Linked DNA regions of Lytechinus pictus. Each later gene encodes a partner of the first gene's protein in a complex. Links are inferred from orthologs where the notes say so. Each region holds a gene or a part of one and is shown on either strand. Other genes may lie near its edges.

Region 1 (10,518 bases):
TTTATGTCATTGAACCCACTGAGACAATAGTACAATAAGATTATTTCTTTAACTGCTGAAGGTTTCCATGGTGAAAAGCAGATGTGTTGTGAGGTTCACGGTACACCATGTATCTTTCGTGGGCGATTGCGTTCTTGTCGTCTCCAGGAGAAAGACGGCAAGAACACACTTGTCGAAACGTCAAGTTTGCGTGGTCCTTTTCAGGACCAACAATTGTTGCCCAAGAAAGATACAAGATTATTTGTCCTAAAGGACAACTTTCCCCAAAATTCCCCAGATAAGTGAGAGCTGGAAAGGCTACAATCGATGGCACCATATTGGATCCTGAATTTGTAACAGTTTCAATTAGGTCATTTTTTAAAATGACATAATGAGAGGCATTTCATACTTACTGTAACATCATCAAGAGTATAGTCGAGTATATCTGTAGCTGCTATTGCCGTTTCAACCTCATCACCAGAATCCTCCATGATGACAAACTTCTACAAAGGAGAAAAAATATTTAGCATTTGAGTGGTATTGGTGAAAGACTCATTTAGGAAGACATCATTTAATCATCTGTTAGAATAGCTGTAGTATTTATGAACCAAATGTTCATTTCTATGTGCAGACCGCACACACACAAAGACAATTGGCGATTATGGAGACAAGCAACACGAATAATCATGATATATTGCGACAGGTGAAGACGTCTATAAGGATGATGATGTCATTCAAGTTGGCAAATTTACAAGTACTACTGACTTTTTCAATTAAGAGAGGTTTTCCTCATTCCTGAGGAATTTTTCTCAAGCTGCAGTCTAAGGTATGAAATTTCTTAATGTATTATCTTTTTTCCTCATAATGGAGTAATTAAAAAAATAATTAGTCCATTTCTGTCCGGGATATTTGCTCCACTGAGACTTCATCTGGCTCCTTGGCATCCCCTTTGTCAATAGACCGAATTCTCCCATAGAACTTGTAGTGCCAATGCTTTGCACGACTCTTAACTGCAGCGTCTATGTAGAAAAGGGTGCACTACCACACCCTCTTTGATTTTTCTTTAATCCCTCCATCTGATGGAGAAAACAAAGCGTGTTACCATGATGAATAGGGCATGAACATGATTGGCTGGTGCATTCGCATGCTCAAGCTGCGATACAAACATGACGAAGAACAATCGATGGAACCCGAGACCGGCTCTTTGCAACAATCATTAAATTTACATCACATAATTATGTTAAAATGTTGATTTTCATTTACATGTTTTTTCTCCGTCAAAGGGGGGGAGGGAATTAGGAGTAATTGGTGTGGTAGCTCATCCTCTTCTCTTTAGATGCTGAAGTTAAGCGTCGGTCGAAACTCCACCATTACGAGCCCTATGGCTATGGCCAACATCTGTCTGAGTAAAAGGAGGACCAAAAATTTTTTAAATAAAAAAAAAACTCCTCCAAAACAGCGGATATATCAATGTAGATACCATATTATACATCAAAGGTTTTGAATTGATCTAGGTCTAAATATCTGTGGATTGATTTTATGCTGGTCAATGCTGATGCTTGAAACTGAAAGTCTGACTACTCTGTCAGCTTTTTCAACCTTATTGAGATCCCAATGTCCCATAGAGTGAGACAGGGTGGTTGCACTGCACTATGAAAGTGGTGTCTAACTTTTTCACACTAAAACACAACCTAAACATTTTTAGTTCTCACTATCTGCATGGGCATGGCATGGACTAGACCGATAAATAGGTCTATTTCTGTCAGGGATATGCTCCGCTGAGACTTCGTCTGGCTCCACGGCATCCCCTCCGTCAATAGAATGATGAGGGCCATTGGGCTCGAAGTGGTGGAGCTCCACCGATGCCTTAACTACATGTACAGCGTTTATGAAGAAAAGGGTGTGCTGACGCATCCTCCTAAATTTTGCTTTTTGACGGGGAAAAGGAGAAGAAATAAAGATAGATTTATATTAAATACATTCAGCTTACCACCTTTCTGAAAAATATGATGGAAAATAGCGAATTCTGATGACGAACAGATCAGGATCAGCAAGGTTCTTCTATGATCGCTCGATCACCATCAGCGCAGCTACAGGTGAGCATACAAACGTGCCAGCTAATCCCCTGATCCTGATGTGTTTGTCATCAAATTTTCCAGCATATTTTTCAAAAAGGTGGGCAGTGGTAAGCTGATTGTATTCAATATAAATTTATTTTATTTCTTCCTCTTTTCCCTTGTTAAAATTAAAGCAAAATTTAGGAGTAATCGAGGAGGTTGCAAAAGTGAACCCTTTTCTCCATAGTCGTTGTAGTTAAGGCGTCGTTGAAACTCCACCATTACGAGTGCAATGGCCATCATCCATCCGTCTGTGTAGGAGGAAAAAAAATGTTGAAAAACTCCTCCGAAACAGCGGATTTATGTCGAGTCTGCATGGGCCTAGGCCTACATGTACAATTGTACGAGAATTCAGTCTACAAAGTATGAAGATCAACTGGTGAGTATAGCCAGCGAAAGTCAGTGGAACAATCAGTTGTATGGTAGGGGGTTCTAAAGCTACGCACTACTCCATTGCGCATGCAATTTCAATGGCAAATAAATGCTCACTCTAGCTCTGTGTGTGAAGCTTAAGCTGTGACTGTATAGAGTGACGAACGATCCCTATTCAATATTTCTACAGAGTGCTTTCAGAGGCTGCAATAAATCCTTGAATGCAGAGAAAACCAACAATTTTTTGGAATTTTGGAGGTGGAGTAAAACCCTCAAACATCGGACGGTTCCAAAAATGACTTGAACTCCCTTCACTGTAACTACAGGGACCCGAACTGGCAGGGGACTTGCATGCATAAGAATACATGAACATACATGCTATTGAGCTGCACACACAGTAGATCCAAGTTGCTGCTCAAAAAAAAAAATTCCAGGGGTTAAATCCAGCGGTAAAATCCATAATTTTGACTTCCAGAGATTCTTACGACCCTCGCTAATTATGGACTCCAAAAGATCGATGACCAAAAAAATCTCGTAAGGGAGAAGTGACTTTCGTCAGAAACATCGCCGCTGCGAGATCGCACATGTTCGATCTATCGCAAAAAAATCTGCAAAGAAGAAATATGGCACTATCTCAAACATCGGACATATCGGCCGATTGAATTGGAAATGCGTGCTGTTAACGCGCGCGCAGGTTTCAAGAACGAAGTCGCGTGCAGCTGAGCAAAGAGCCGAAAGAGGTCCGTTGGGTAAGTAAATTATCATTATTTACCGAATTCTATATCAAAGTTATTTATAGTAATAATCAAAATTGGCATTTGCGCAGCTAAAATAAATCATTTTATCAACAAGTCAGCAATTTAATAGCCATACTTGAAATTATGTTATCCCCCCCCCCCCCCCGTTCCTGCCTTTATCTTAATTTCTCTTATCTTTGCTTATTGATTTGTATAATATATACTTTATTCATCGTGTAATCTTTTGTGTGTATCATGTGATATTCTAAATTATTTTGTGCGAACAAATTGAATTTCCATTTATAAATCATGATTGCAATTGGACAATGAAAATATCTGAATCTGAATTATTTTGGGGTCTACAGCACGATTTAAATCGCCGAAATTGATTGCGGCCAACAACTCTACTCGTCCAATATTTGGAGACGGCATCCGATTTTGGGCAAAAAAACAAACTTCTGGTAGTAAGTAAATAATTTCTGTTTAGCATAATAATTTTTTCATTTCTATTCTTTAATGACATTAATATTCAACATTTGTACTACGGAAATAAACATGATTTATATTTGATGCAACAATTGTATTTTTGTTTTAGTCCAATAATGCTTAAGTGTCCAATATTTGGGCACTTTGCTCTATATTCACTCTAATTTCTTTTTTTCCTTTAAATTAATAACACAGACATATTTTAGAAATTTCGGAACAGTAAATACTACTTCTTTGCATAATAAATCGAGAGCGTAACTTTTTAGGACCCCTTCTAAATCGGGCGGCGAAACACGGCGGGATTTTCGTAATGCTATTAGTGAGTTTTGTAACACTTTCTTCTTGGTTAAGGATCTTTAGAATTATAGAATATAATAGATCTAACTTAGAACTAGGCCTAGTGTCTAGTGACGTCTATATTTTACAAAATTAGGTAGGCCTAGTGAAACTTGAAGATGATTTGTTCAAATATTAAAATTGGCATAGTTTTTATAGTTTGAAAACAAAGTGCGTAGCTTTAGGTCCCCCAATCATACAGAGACTGAAGCTTTTGGTCTACACTTAAAGTGAAGAGACTAAAGAAAGACATGATTGAAAGAAAAAAAACGACTGACAAAACAACAACACACGTCAAAGTCAATAGGTGGGGCATAGCAGACTGGATTTTGCTCCTCGGGACACTTGCCTTGGTCTATTTTATGAATTAAAGTAAACCTTGAAAAGTGGACAACGTTTGCATAAACTATGAGCAAAACTCAACACAGACTTCTTTTTAAAAAAATCCTTAATACCAGTACTTACAAGTAATTCAGCTCAGACTCGACCTCAGAATCAGTCCAAATTTGGCTAACCGGCAGACAACAGCAGCAGAGTCTGGACTACGCCCCACAATCGAAGCTCCTGCCGGCCTAGCTAGGCTATAGAGCCTGCATGCATTTTATGCCGCGCGGGTCATTTTTTAATAATTTTTAATATCCCCCCCACAAAAAAATCCATATTTATTGTTCGAAATAAATTTACTTAATTTCTACAAGGCACAGATGAAATAATTTAGATTATCAAGTTTCATTAACTGATAGGTTCTGAAATATCCCCCTAGCAATTTTGTCTCTCCTGTCTAGCTCATGTTTTGTCTTTCCTCTCTCACCATACGCACTTAGAATGTTGGGCAACATACTGTCCACTGTGTTGGATAATGTATGTTGGTAGAAATATATATATTTATATCCAACTAAACAAATTCATTACCCAATTATGTAAGTTTTTATTACCCAATTTGGACAGATTTTTAACAATAGTTGTGTGGACAGTTGTATGTTGCCCAAAGTTGGTTACAAGTTGGACATTTTTGCCCAACTATATATTTTTAGAGTGTAGACCTATTTCTGTTTACAGCACCATTCGCACAATCATCCCCTTGTACTCGTTATGTTATACAATATCCTATGATTTTGTAATGTTTTAATTATAAAGTGACCTCGTTCAGCCCTCACAAAATGATTTATATGTGTCTGCAAGGAATATTCGACATTGAAACTTCCATTTTATTTGGGGGGTGCATGGGCACCGCTGAACGCTCCTTGGTATTGATAGCTTTGGACATATTGGGTATGTGACGTGGGGGTTGTATAACTAAATCATAAATCACTCAAACTGTTGGAATTTTAACAAACTTTGAAGTAAAATTTCTCTGAAATGGGTTTGAAATGTCGTACCTGCATGTGCGACGGTTCGATTGATCACCGACGACATGGTCATCTAAATGGTAAAAATAGCGATGTGAGATGGACGAACGCGTGATGTCGATCAAAAACAAAAAATCATTTTCCAAAGACACTACGAGAAAGAGGAAGGCAATAGACAGATAGAGGAACTGAGAGAGAGGGGAGAGGGAGAGCAGCAGACTGAAAGAGAACTTGGCCACAGAGCATCATTGCGTCCAACCGACATTTGGCATTTCTCAAAAGTTTTGGGCATTTTTATTAATATCCAGTGTGATGAAAATTTTGCCCATTCTAAAGTTATTGCTGCTTGTTTTTTTTAACCTTACTGGACAACATGCTTCCTGCGTTGGGTAAGATACTGCCTCAAATTGGTTGAACACATAATTACCCTCGTGGTGGTAAAATTTTAACCAATATTTTTTTTTACAGTATATGCACCCTATTGGGTGCAAGTGCACACACTTTACACCCTTTAGTGTGCAAACTTACACCCTATGGCCTACACTGTAAAAAATGAAGTGCTAATTTAGTGACTGCACTACGAGTGCTGATTTTCTTGTTCAAATTTATAAACTAGAAAATCGGCACTCGTAGTGCAGTCACTATACAAGCACTGTAAGTGCCAAATTAGCACATCATTTTTACAGTGTAATAAAGGGTGCTGTTATTGTAACTAGGGGTGCAAACTCGATTTTTTTTCTTAGTGTGCACGTAACTATTTCGTAAAGTGAAGAAAAAAGGGGAAGGAGACGAGAAAAACAGCTAGAAGAGGGAGAAAAATAAAAATGCAACGTGATGAGAGTTGTGTAACTCTATACCCTTTTATTACAATGATAAAGAAAACATGATTTCAAAGTTAGGTTATCGTGCTCTTTTCAATCTTGGCATTTTGATCACCCAACATCTATAGCTATATAGAATTTATTTCTCATGTACCTTTAATACCATATTAATAATTGCTATAATAATTTCTATAGCTCTTATTTTTATTTCATGGTTTAGGGAAGTAGCTGGAAATAGCTTACAGTTGGAATATTATTGAACTATAGTATTGGATGACGAGGAGGGTCAGGAGCTGGCATAGTAGGTAAGAAGTTATACGAAAATGATTCAGTTCTAAAAACTAGCGTTCAGTTTCCCTTCTTTTCCCCTTTTAATATAAATAAGGAAGAGTAAATATAATAATAAGACGGGGAAAGAAAGCAAGAGAGGAAGAAAGTGTGTGTGTGTGTGTGTGTGAGGGTGTGTGTGTGTGTGTGTGTGTGTGTGAGGGAGAGAGAGAGAGAAACATCCAAGGGCGGCTGGAGAAAGATAGAGAAAGATGTGAATAGATAAAAAAGTAGGAAGTTTCCGAACTGAGACGCAGAACGCTTTCAAGTTCAATGGAAATGTATTGTCAAATGGATTTAATGACAAAAAAACAACTAAAAACTCTTTGTCGAAGATTAATAATCAAATCAGCAGATCGCCCTACACTTTGCACAAACGACATTTTGCAATTGTTCGTCCACTCTGAAAATGAGGGCTAAACTGCTGTTCCTGTTCACCAATTTTCGACAAAGCCCTCCCAGGTGTTTTATTTGGCGGGCATTTTCAATACATTTACTTTTTTTTTATTTGATCTGCGTCGCGGTTTTTTTTATTAATTATTAAAGTAACACAATCACTGAAAATAAAAATGGGGAAGTGGACTTTCGTGATTCGAAAGTCCGCTCCCCCATCGTCCCGCTTTCAGTGGCATCATTTTCATCTTAGACATCTCTTATTTATCCAAATATTAGACTTTATACATTGTCACTTACCTGTAAATGATAGGTACTGACATTTATATTCATTACGCGACCGGTTCATCCTAACTACAAATAAAACAGTGAGAATAATATATACATTTTTCGAAAACCTAAAAAGACATCTGAAATTTTCTGATGAGTGACTATGTAATGGTGCTCTTTCTTTGATGAAACAAAAGAATAAAATATTTTGCACACCCTAATACAGAACAATTTCAAACACAAAAAAATATGAAATTTATTTAGAAATGCTAACATTTACTTGATCTCAATGAATATTAAATATTATTTAAATAAGGCGTTAATTAAAAAATATAAGTACACTGATCATGATTTTAGAAGAAATAATCACCTTTTCCTAATTGGAGTTAGATTTACTTAATCGAAGCAAGGATACATGAAATTTGATAAATGTATATGAACCCAAATAAATCAAGTAATTCAATTGAATTAAAATTCAAGTTAAAGCTACCTAAAAATCGAGAAATAATTTCAAATAATAAATTCTACTTATACAGTGCGTATCAAAAAAAGTTTACACTGAGACAAAATCCTGTAAAATTATACATTTGTAATATCCTGAAGATTTTTCCACATGTTAACATGGGTACAGATCCATTTAAGCAAATGACGATATAACTGTCGAAAAATATTTCCGCTTGGGTGAGCACCACTTACTTTTGAAAAGTTAGTGAAAAATGATTTGCGCAGAACTTTGAAATAGTTATGCGAATAACAGTAGACCTTAATAATGAAGAACACATGACATTTAGCTAGTAACATTGATTTGAAGATATCTTTTTACCTTTTTAAACTTGTTTTCTTACCCAAAACACTTCGAAGAGTGCCATTGCGCCCCCCCCCACTCCCCCACACACCGAGGCCATCGTGACGATATTTACACTGAGCTGTGATTTACATGAAATGGCTTAGGCTTGATTTTCATTTTGTTAATCATTGTCAAGCTTGGGAAAAGTGTGAAGAAACAAGAATTAAATGAAAAATGAAATGTAAACCCACTTTAAATAATAAAAACTTGAAAAACGTGAAAAAATGCTGGAGATGTCTGATATAAACATTTGTTTAGATTCAATTATGTCCTCAGATCCAGCTGGCACAAAAAGGGTAAAGGTTGTGCTTATTAATTTGTTAAAATTTTAAATTGAGTGGCAAAATTGTTACAAAATGCTTGAATGTATCCGTTTTATTTCAATTGACTAAAAGTGCAAGGGAAATGTATGAAAAATGTTTCACAGGGTAAGTTTGATTTCGCCTTTTCCCCTCGACACAGTGTGAAAACGAGCTTTTCTGCGCAAACAGATTTACAAAAATGGACAGTACTCACTCAAGTGTAATATTCTGTCAAATCTTTTACTTTCATTGGATAGATGAGACCCAAACCCAAGAATATATGTGAAAAAATTACCCACATGTATTTTTTAATTCCCAGGGCTTTTTCAAAGTGAAATTTTTTTTTTGATACGCACTGTATACATTAAGTGTTAAATACTTATTAAGATAATTTTTTACCGAGTATTAAAACAACGTTCTATAGTGTGTAGATACCTCATTATTTTGCATTAAGTCTTATTTTACACTCATTCTACAATATCAAGTTTGTTTTTACATTTATATATGATGAGCTACACAAACTTGAAGATTGAAAACACCCTAAAAATGTATCACACGAGTCACAAAATAGGTCCATATTTTACATTGCTTGAAAAGTATAGCAGATTGTATGAATTGTAGTTGATTACTTCTGAGGATCTTAGGACCTCAATAATTCCAGCAAAAAAAATTTCAATGTGTAAGCCCCTTCATTATGAAAAAAAAAACACCAGGGGGCCGTTTCATAAAGCTGTTCGTAAGTTAAGAGCGACTTTAAGAACGACTGGTGAACCTTTCTTACAAGTTGAACCATCGCCAATTAACATTTTGGTGTATATACCATTCACCACAAGAAAGGATCACCAGTCGTTCTTAAAGTCGCTCTTAACTTACGAACAGCTTTATGAAACACCCACCTGAACAGAAATGTCACGCGAGTCACATTAAGATTTCTTAGGGTTCTCATGCGAGTCACGTTTTTAGAAATCTTTGAAAATAAAGAGAATTATTGATTTTTTTAAAGATTAACTTTGCCTTTAAAAATTATTTCATGTAGAAGGCTTTAAGATTACATTAATGGTAATAATGCTTTATATTGATTAATCAAGATAGATAATAACAAAACACATTCTAAGAAGAATGTCATTTTCTGATCAGCCATTCCTTAGAATTAGATACCCAAGGCTTCAAAATTTAAGCTTTACCATTTAACAAATAATAGTTGTTTTTTGCTAAGTGCATGTCTAAAAGGTGTAAATTTGATTTTCACTGCCTTTCACCTTCAAATGACCAGTGACACCATCAGAGTAGTAAAATTTACATACCTTTTTGGTACTTTTTTAAATAACACTCATTCATAATAGAAAAAATGGTTCTGTTGTCTGTAAATACATCATTTTTGTATTCTGTCTAATTTTGTAATCCATTATCAATTTGTTTTTGCGTAAATCTAGTAGAACAAATCTTTAAAAATATTCAATATTGAAAACACCCTTGAAATGTATCATGGGAGACACAATAATACTGCAATGTTTTACTTAACTTAAAACGTAGTAGGTAGTTGATAAAAGCATGATGCGAGTAAGGAGCATAAAGTACCAATTATACCGGCAAAGAATATTGCCAAGTGTAAAACCCTTCATAAAAACAACCCCAAAGTATACACATACTTTAATGGTACTCCATAGCATAGGTGGATCCTGGGGGGTGGGGGCCGAGGGGCCCGCCCCCCCCCCTTATGAAGGAGCAAAAAAAGAAAGAAAAGGAAAGAAAAATAAGGGGGGAGGAAGGGAAAAGAGAGGAGAAAAAAGAAGAGGAGGAAGACGAGTGAATAAAATAAGATGAGGGGAAGACTTGGAAAAAAAAAGAATCTTTCATGTCACTTTACAAAATTTTCGCTCGCGCTTCGCGCTCGCATTGCCTGTAAGGTGATTTCCATATCTTGTTCAATATGGAGTTTAAATATCAAGTTTGGAAGTCAATATACAGAACATATCTCACCTCGGAAATCGAACTTTCATTATTTTGTGTGATCTACAAATTGATTTTTAAAAAGTGCTCTGTAAAAAAAAAAAAATCATTTTTATAGTATGAATATTAACATTATCTGCTCGCGCTGCGCGCTCGCAAATTTTGATTTATCAGGTATAACTTCTGAACGTTTCCATGGCGAAGAAAAATAGTGTAGTAGGTTTCACGGTAC
Region 2 (10,535 bases), on another chromosome or scaffold:
TGGATTGGTGAGATATGTGTGCTCTTCATGAATTCCTAAAATCAGTCCTTAAAATGTCCCCTTTTCTGATCTGAATATCAAAAATTTTCAGCTTGCGCTTCGCACTTGCATCATTTGGTTAGTGAAATACGCATGGTCTTCATTAATTCCTACAAACAAGCCTTAAAATGTCCTCTTCAGGTCTGAATTTCCTATATTTTTCAGCTCGCGCTCGCATTAATTGATTAGTAAAATGCGTATGATAATTATGATTACAATGACTGCAAAAAGTGCTTCATGTGCCATTTATATGTAATTCTAAAAAAATCAGCATGCGCTTGGCACTCGCATTAGATGACTATGGTGAGATTTGTGTACTCTTAATGGATTCCTTTAAAAAGAGTCCTTAAAATATTCCTGTTTGTGGTCAATATATACAAGAATTTCAGCTCGCGCTTAGCGCTCGCACCATTTGGTTAATAAAATACGCATGGTCTTTGTGAATTCCTACAAACAAGCCTTAAAATGTCCACTTCAGATCTGAATTTCCTATATTTTATTAGTGTGATGCGTGTGATAATCATGATTACAATGACTAAAAGTGTTTCATCTGTTTAGATGTATATAATTGTAACAAAATCAGCAAGCGCTTGGCACTCGCATTAGATGACTATGGTGAGATATGTATGCTCTTAATGGATTCCTGAAATGTAGTCCTCAAAATGTCCCTGTTTGGGGTCAATGTATACAAAAATTTCAGCTCGCGCTTCGCGCTCGCATTGTTTGTTTAGTGAGATAGATATGTATCATGATTACAAAAATTTGCTTATAATGTCCCTTTTTAGGTCTGAATATAAAAACAAATTCAGCTCGCGCTCGCATTATGCGGTCAGTGAAATACATATCCGTTTAATGGCACTGTCCTTAAAATGTCTATATTAGGTCAGTTTATCTGGCAACTGAGCGCGCTTCGCGCGCTCACTAAGTGACTAAAAAAATTTCTGGTGCCCCCCCAATGCCGTGACCCACGGTACGCCACTGTCAGACAGGATATTTTTCCCTGCATTTGTTGCTTTGTTACCACAATAATCATTATGATGGCAATCATTTCCATCTCCATCTGTCTTTGGCAAATTGTAGTTTGTAGTTGTTATTACTAGCCACTATGGCCCTTATTCTGAAGTCAGGTTTAACTTAGACCATTAAACTCTGTGCTAAAATTATGGGAAGCCAAAAGTGTCAAAATTTTTCTTAAGTTGTATGTTTCTTATGTTTACTGTGCTCTTTCCTGATTCATCGATGGTGAAGACAATCATCTATTCATACTTTCTACACAATTATGAATGATTTGAGAGCCAAATGAGGTGAAATATTATATCTCTACTGTTAGTGATTTATGTAACAATTGGCTATCCATACTTAAACCACAACTTTAAACCCGAGTTTAAGTTACACCCGACTTCAGAATACGGACCTATGGAATTAAATGATGTCTTTCACATATTGTCTTCCTCTCCTTCTCTTTGTTTAACATCAAATAACCTTTCCACTGTCCAATTGTATATATGAATACAAGATCAAACCGAGTCCCATCTCTTGTATAAATTCAATTAAACATGAGTAATGATATACATGCATGAGCCCATTGTGTTTGTTGTAAGATTTCCCAAAAAGCAAACTGGATATACCAAAACTGAATGAAAAACAAAATAAATCCTAATCCTCACTAGACAGACAAGATCTCTTTTTTAATATTGACTTGAAATAAACTGTGATGCACCTGGGTGCTTTTGATATTCAGCATTCTGCACTCCTTTTTTTCATAGTATGCATAACAAACTGGAGTTGGCAAAATGATGTAAAAGGAGAGATCGACACATGTCCTACCACGATGTATGCTACACCAGGGTAATGATAGGAAGTGTCAGGAGTAACACAAGTGTTCTTATCACATCCATTCGCGATCATGATCGCATCATCTTCAAAATTCTTCTCCTTGTATTACATGCAATTAACGGTTCTGCTCCACAGTACAATATTAATCTAATTAACAAATACACTGTCAGGTCCCTACGTTCATCCATCTCTGGTTACCTACATGTAGTTATTCCCAAATCCGTTAAGACATGGGGGGTTTGGGCTTTTGCTCACGCTGTCCCTGTTCTCGTGAATGATCTTCCCCTGGTTATCCGTGAATGCACTTCCACTGACACATTTAAACATTACCTTAAGACACGTCTATTCAATGCTTCCTATTCTTAATTGTTCCTGAATCTATCAATAATATATTTGTAAGTTTTTCTTTCATTCTTTCTTTCCCTGCGCCTTGGGCACTCTGCCGAGTGGATTTGGCGCATTACAAATCCCATATACATGTGTATTATAATTATTATTATCATTATTATTATTGAACCCACCCACAAATAATTGTATAATCTTACCAGTCACTTGTCCCAATGTAGAGATTCTTTCCACAGCATTCTATACATTCAATCTATAGGAAAGAAAGATGAGACAAAAGGAGGACAAGACAAAACAAAATAAAAAAATTTGTTCTCTCATTTCCCTCCAGTTTGTCTTGTTCCTACCTCTAACTTCTTCAACTATTCTACCCTCCTTCTTTGTTTCCCCTTTTTTTCTAAAAATATCTCCTCATATATCCTACTGCTGGCTCAATTTAAGTAAGGATATGAAATATAATTTTCCTGGTTATCACATTGCAATCTAGTCCAAATTCTTTATAGACTGCTACACAAAAAGTCCTTTGTGTAGCAGAAGTTCTTTTTGTACGAGAAAGCAAAATTTTTCCTTCAGAAGGCTCAAATCATTATGAAAATGATATTTAATCGATCGAAGAAAACAAAAAATATTTGCTATTCTTTCAAGTCTCTGCTATCTTCAGGAACATACAAACATGACATCTACATCAAAGTAAAAGTAAGTTGAACTTACTGAAGTTTTGCTTGTTCTCTCCCCAAGTAGCTTCAACCTCTCTACGGCTGGAACCAGTTCAAAAGCTTTCACACTCATCCTTGAAGTGCCTTGTGATATGATGTCGTGGTAATTTTTCTATAATAAACAAGTCCAGAAAAACGATAAACATATCTAGAGACCCACCATAGCAAGTTACATAAAAAAACCTACATGTGCAAGTTGCAGTAGCCATTCATTCGCACCCGCATTACCCTCAAGGCAACTGTCAAATCTGGGCAGATCGGTTTTATAATAAAATTTGAAACTTGATTATTTCACAATTTATGAAATAATAATTTTTATCCATCAATTGTTCTTCAAAACGGCATCGCTAATCGGATGTACGTCATAACGAAGCGGTTCACAGGTCAGACCTATTGTATTTGCTTTGTCACCGTACTTTGTGTAGGTGTGTTGCAAAAGCGCCCTCTAGGTGCATTCTGAATGAAGCATTGAGTGTGCTGCCTATAATCTCAGGGTGACTGTGGGGGCATTGCTTTGTATTGTGTTTGCATGTGCATGGAAAGGTTATTCCCCATGACATCATTGTTTTTACGTAGTTGAATGTTTATGGCAGCTGTCTAGACTTGAAAAAAACTCTCACTCGGTGATCTTGCGACTCTGTGTGCTACTGGAACTTTGGCCTTGCTTTCAACCTCTGAGTCTTGCTATTCATATTTACAGGTATCATCCCAATTTAAAAGGTACATTCATTCCGATAGAGCAACATTTTAACTATATTGTGGTGAAATTTGAATGAAATCAACTGACGCTAAGTGTGTTTTTTAAGTCCCTGTTTCGGCGGCTTCTGTAATTTTTGAGAGTGTTGTTGGGCATTTCCATATGCCAATGTATGCGCATTGCCATTGGTGTTTTCTATTACTTAGTGTACCTTGGTCCCAATTAAGATCACAACTTTTGGCTTAAAAAACAAAGGAATACATAAGAATTGAATAGGCGATTTATACGACCTTAAAACTACAATAACTTTCTTATTTCTGGGGCTATTGAGATAAATGAGGTGTTAGATTATTTAAACTAAAGGTCTTGGGAAGGATGTTTTAATTGAAGTTGAAGTTGATGAGCTCTAAATAATGCCATGAAGAAAACACCTTATTTCTGAGATTTATTTTTTTTGCAACATACCGTACTTTGACCCTTTTTTTTTTTGTCTTTGTTGACAAACGGATTGAAGGATCTACACGAGATCAGTCTGGTACGTAAAAAACCTCTCATTTTTGCCATTAAGTGAAATAATTTGGCATTATCGTGATATTGGGAACCACCGTTCACTTCATACAGCAGTGCTTTATTCAGTCACATGCACGGTTCCCTATTTCCACCTCCATTCACTTTGTCTTTGCACACAAGTGCGCGTATACAAATCGACAAGTACGAGTGGTTCCCGAAACCACGATTTGGCCAATATTTAATAATTTTATCCCTTAACTTAAGTTCATACGCATTTGAAGGTTCAAATATCAAAAAAATTCACACCTATAAACCGATTTCACCCTGTGTGTAAATATGGATACAGAGACTTCAGTCCAGAGACAGAGTAACTTACCGTACTGAGTTAGTAGTCGAGCCCGCAGACAAAACAATTCACAACGCCCACTTTGGTTTTTAGTGATTTTACCCACGCAAAATTGGATGCATGGGGCCGAAGACAACAGAACCAAACAACTTTCAAAATTGGGTGCATGAAATTACCTCCGTGAGTGTTCTTAATGACAGAAAACAATATTATAAGAACATGAGACTCACATGTTCTAAGCCTAAGGCCTGGTTTGTATCATAAATTGGGAGCAAGACTCCGAGGGTCGACGTCCGGGATTTTGATTCGGTGAATTTACGACAGAATTTTGAGACTATACCGGTCACGATCGGAGAGGACGACACACAAAACATCAAGAGTTGACGCATTGATTCCCAGAAGGAAAAACCAGTAAGACCATTAAGAATTTTTACTGGTTTCCAGTAGAATTTTACTGGTTTCCAGTATATTTTTACTGGGCCAGTTGATTTTTAACTGGACCAGTAAAAATCAACTGGAGACCAGTTCAAACAATTGCATTCCAGTTGAAGCAAAGTAGTAATACCAGTTAAATTGTTTTTCATCAAACTGGTATTACTGGTCCAATAAATAATTACTTTATTTCAAGTCAGATCATTTGACGAATTATGGAAAATGAATCTTGCAATTCAGAGAAAGTTATTATCGTTATCATTTTTATCATCATTCTTCTTATAATTATCATAATGATTATTATTATGATCATTGTTGTCATAATTCTTATTACTGTTATCATTGTTATCGATATTGTAATAATTATTATTAATATTATCATAATTATCAAGTATTAACATTATCATTAAAATAATTATTTCCTTTAATTATGATTAAGATCAAAGCAAGATATTTTCCTCTGTTATAGTCAACTGGTCTAAAGTAATTCATTGTTTGAAATTAAACTGGTCAAGACCAGTAATCTGATGATGCTGATCACGTGGTTTACCTCATTTGCATATTTCCTATTTTAAAAAGAAAAATCGGGATTTAGAATGGAATATCCTTGCAATGGCACTCATTGTTGTTTAAAAACTTTCCAAATATTGGATATTACAGGGGCCGCGGGCTATGGGGCTTCAACCCCACCTTTTTTCTCCAAAATCGTGTACAAAAACGTAAAAATTACCATCTGATAGTGATTTTTTGCATGGTCAGCCTTCCCAAGCCCCCCCCCCCCCCCCCACCCCCACTCTCAAAACCATTCCGTCGCCCCTGCATTAGACCAGCTAGATTTGAGACGACATGGTCATACAGTCGAACTGGTGTTTAGACGAAGTGATTGGGACAAAATGGTTGTTAGACAAAATTCCTGATGGACGGTATAGACGAAAAGAAGATAGATTCTGTGATGAGTGGACGGGTGAAGATCGAGTTGGCGATAAAAGAAAATCTCTACCCCCTCTCTCTCCCTCCCTCTCTCCCCTCCCTTTTTTTCTCTCTCTCTCCTTGCTCCCCCTCTCTTTCCATTTCTCTCTGACTCACTCACTCTCTCTATTAAATCAAATCACGTTATATTAGCAGGGGACAACAAAATTGCTGTGCGAGAATAGGGTCTTTAATAGCTTAACAGTACATGATAATGGGGGAAACAAGAATACTTTAAGCAGAATGGATATAACAATCCACTGAGTATACAATCTGCTATACATAATCAAAATTTGCGAGGAATAATTTTTGTCAAATTTATAATTAGTCGTTTTATATACTTAGGGCAGGGTTTCACCTGACGGTATGTTGAAGTGCCACATTCGTTATCGGATATCAATATTGTGCCATTGATTGATTGATTTGATTTATTTATTCCGTTTTGAATAAGGGATATAATATAGGTTTTCCCGTCGAATTTTGTAAAAATCAACCAATTTAATGATGTAATAATTCAATTTGCAACTAATTTGAAAGACTTAATTTAATTAAGCATTTGACCCTTTAAATGTTGATCTTATACATGTTATATTAAATATAACATGTATAAGATCAACATTTAAAGGGTCAAATGCTTAATTAAATTTAATTTTGTTTATTATTTAAACATGTATAAAGAACGATCAAATTGAAATAGCTGAAAAAGTGTTTTCAAATTATCACCGGTACCCTCCTTGCGAACGTTTAGGAATTCAAAATCATAAATATGCAATTACTTATAGGACATGGACAGTGTTTTTCGTAGGTGTTTTTTTTACGTCTTTTGAATAAATATGGAAATGGGATTACTTTGAAATTGGATGTTCAATACCATGTTTCTCATCCCTTTCCCAACACAATATAAATCATAATTATGTAAAAAAAAGAAGAATAACCGTTTACACCCATATATCCTATAAGTGTTACATGAATTACGTCTTTATCAAAGATAATGGAATAAAATGAATCTAACTAAAAAGATCAGAAAAAATAGAAAGAAAAGATAAAGTTTGAACAAATATTGTATAAAGTAATAAAAAATGAACACGAACATGTTATCTGAATTTGGACGTTTAAAGTGCAAATATGTGTCCCGATAAACGAAATTGAAAATAGTATTTAAGGCGAAATTAAACGATCGATCAGCCCGTCGTAGCGAAATTCAATGACAACTTTGGGCCATTAATTTGAACGAATCTCTCTCTAAATTGAATTTCTACAAATTCAAAGGAATGATATAAAATGGAATTGAATGCTGTATAAATTAAAATTGAACCATGTGTGCAGAGGGTGGACAAAAATCTTTCGAATTTGAACGTCCTTTTACTAATTTAAATGCATTTCTGATGAAATTGGACGGGAAAACCTTTATAATTCAAACAATTTTAATGAGGATTGGTAAAAACGGCGAAATTATGTTCGTGGATGTTGTGGCCGGCCATTAAAAATTTCAATCTTAACCAAATTCTGATACAGTACACCATGACATGGTTGATTCAACAGCAGACCTATTATTGCGTCAAGTCCCCAAAATTCAAAAGAATTCACCGAAGACGAAATCCAATACACAAAAAGCTCAAATAAAGTAAGGGCGTTTCCACACGCGAATCTTGAATCATCAATGCAATAATGATTGCAATTGCAGTCGTGACTTTGATTATCGTTCGTGATTCTAATATTAGGTTCTAGTTTGATTTCACACGTGCTAAATATTCGTCATTAGCCTTATTTTTTTCACTGGAATCATCATTCAAATTACGATTGTTTTTACCTTGTGAAAGGGTGGTATGAGGGCTAGGTGTAGTCCGTCTCGCGTTAATTAAAAGGAATTTGATATTTCATATGATTTTTTTTTTAATAGTCGAAATAGCAAATTATCATGTTGGTGTAGCTTGTCAGGATTAGCACACTTTAATTTCATTTCGTTTTATCTCTTCTCATTTTAAAGATTGAAAATGTACCTTCAGAAGATTCAGTCTGAATTCTACGAAATTTGAATTTACTTTAATGGCATCCTATAATAATAATGGTACTTATTCATCGTAACTCAAGCAAGCAGATACAAAATGATTTACAGAGTACTATATAAAATTACTAAATTACAAAACATTATTACGATAGCAGAAATTCTGAATTGTAGTAACAATGTTTACACGATAGGTGGCCTGTAACAAATTCCAAATACGTATTATAATTAAATATTAAAAAGTATCAAGGGAATGTGCACTTACAATATAAAAATAAATAGAGAGGGGAAAACAAAAGAATGGCCGAGAAAGAGAGTCGGGAGAAAATTAATAGAAGAGAGAGGGTGTGGTAGTCAGGAAAACAAGGTGGAGTCTGAAGAGATAGTGTGAGAGAGCAGGGGGAATAAAGAGTAGGAATAAGAAAGGGTAGCCAGAGCTATACAAGACATAGAAAGATAAAAAGGCGAAGGAAGCAGACAATTGCGAACAGAAAACATAATTCTCACAACTGGTAATACAATACTGGTAATACAATACAATACAATACAATAGTATAACTGGTAATACAATACAATAGTATAATATCCGGTATAATATACATGTCCGAATAAGAAACAGCATCTAGTGATCTCATTGTGTAAGCTTTGTGGAAATAGGGTATATATATCCGGAATAAAAGGACACCAATACTGTGATGTGAAATAGCAATAAACTCCCTACGCTGAATTTTCCATAAGCACATTGTATGAGATCAATTGAATCCTGTGCCATTCGCCATCAACCACTACAACTGCGTTGTTCTTCCTATCAACACAAAGTCCTCTCAAGTAGTTGAAAGTCCACCATCCTCGAGTGACATCTCCAATCGGTTTGTGGTCTTTATCCAACACCGTCACTGTCTCATCCGTGTAAAGTAGACGAGAAGTATCGGCGCGAGCAGTGATGAAGATGTTGTCATCCTTGTCAATGGCAATGCCTCGGTAATGCCAAGACAGTTTTGAAGTCGGGATTGTTACGCGCTCTTTAAATTTACCATCTTGATTAAAGATACGAATAGCCTTAAAATCTGCAACATATAGGCGATTCTTTGAGTTGAATGCAATGAACCATGGACTGTCTAAGTTACCTTCTCCTATCTTGTGGGCAAACTTCCCGTTCATGTCGAAAACATGAATACAATTCATCCCCCAATCTGCTACGTACACCTTTCCATCTCGCTTTGCAATGCCAGTTGGGTTCGTGAATTTTGCATAACCTTTGGTCCATTGAGTTAGCTTCCCATTTTTCAACTCGTACACGCATCCTTTGCTCTGCTTACCCATATCCGTTATTAGAAAATTGTCATCAACTTCTGACAAAGCAAGGATGCCGTAAGGTAGAAAGTTCTTCTGGGAGCAGAGGACTGTCCAAAATGAATTACTTGGGTTGATAGCAACTACACGGTTGTTATACGTATCCGCCACGACATAGTTGTCCTTGTGCAGCACAACACCATGAGGTCGATTCAGCTGGGCTTTGAGAGGAGTTTGGAACAGAGTTGACATTGCCATGATCAGGGTTCTAATGATACCCTGGAAAAATAAAAAAAGTGATAAATCTCCGTTAAGCAATTGTTGCTCAAGCAAGTTTTGATCCTGCATGGGTATATGGCCCTGGACCAGTGGCGTACCTAGGATTTTCCACAGGGGGGGCAAAATCGACCGCCCAAAAAATTGACAAGCAAAAAAAAAAAAAATAAAAAAAAAAAGGTCTTCAATCAAAAATAAAGGTTATTGTACCAGAAAAAAAAATGACAAGCAAAAAAAAAAAAAAAAAAAAAAAAAAAAAAAAAAAAAAAAAAAAAGGGCTTCAAGCTCGTCAGGGGGGCAATAAAGGTCTTCAAGCTCGTAAGGGGGTGGGGGCATAAAAGGTCTTTCAAGCTCGTCAGGGGGGCAGTGATATGTATTTTGTATGGGTTGTGGCTCGTCAGGGGGGGGGGCAGAGTGCCCCCCCTGCCCCCCTGTAGGTACGCTAGTGCCCTGGACGATTCCTAATTCGCTCGACAAAAAAAACGCTGCTGTGTACTTGCTACGTTTCTTGTTATAGCCATGTAGGTTTTATTTAGAGGTGTTGTGCCTCAGTGAAAGAGTCTCCAGAATTTGAACCACAAGGTCCAGGACCCCAAACCCACAACAGCACTCGCGTCCTTGCAGTGAAAATAGTTTAGTCCCCTCAATCAATTAGTGTCCCTACCCCCGACAGAAGTAAGTCATGAATATTTTAACATCTGTACGATGATCGAAGAGACATGCAAGACGGTGATGTTCCGTGCTAATTGGTCTCTTGAAAATCATAGTTTAAGCCTTCACATTTTCGAAGGAGTAATGTATTTCGATCCAGCACAAACGTATTTTTGAAACGCAAACTTATATATTTATATATATCACCGAGTTCATTAATTTTGTCTTCAGTCCAAGTAAATAATGTAGATCGCCGGGTGTGCATGCGCATTTGTGTGTTTTTCAGGTCCAATCAACAAATGCCATTGATTATGTAATTGAAAATCATCAAAATCTCTTTTTATCTCTTTTTTCATTCTCCCTTCTTCTTTTCTCGCCTTCGTCATGCATTAATTCTCAATTCCGTGGGTGACGATCTGT

The links. Proteins that work in one complex are often made in the same cells at the same time.
Region 2: vacuolar protein sorting-associated protein 8 homolog (region 1) and transforming growth factor-beta receptor-associated protein 1-like share a complex: the UniProt entries of both Homo sapiens proteins name them as parts of the putative class C core vacuole/endosome tethering (CORVET) complex. The link is inferred for Lytechinus pictus from reciprocal best matches to the Homo sapiens genes VPS8 and TGFBRAP1.

What each region holds. Positions count from the first base shown.
Region 1 is NC_087245.1:17,276,767-17,287,284, forward strand, and holds the start of vacuolar protein sorting-associated protein 8 homolog, read right to left. Parts: upstream 4,855-10,518; 5' UTR 4,493-4,854; intron 483-4,492; 5' UTR 471-482; coding exon 393-470; intron 1-392. UniProt on the Homo sapiens protein: Plays a role in vesicle-mediated protein trafficking of the endocytic membrane transport pathway.
Region 2 is NC_087250.1:18,852,133-18,862,667, reverse strand, and holds the start of transforming growth factor-beta receptor-associated protein 1-like, read right to left. Parts: upstream 4,878-10,535; 5' UTR 4,864-4,877; coding exon 4,720-4,863; exon of another isoform or gene 4,520-4,719; intron 3,049-4,519; coding exon 2,932-3,048; intron 2,474-2,931; coding exon 2,421-2,473; intron 1-2,420. UniProt on the Homo sapiens protein: Plays a role in the TGF-beta/activin signaling pathway. It associates with inactive heteromeric TGF-beta and activin receptor complexes, mainly through the type II receptor, and is released upon activation of signaling.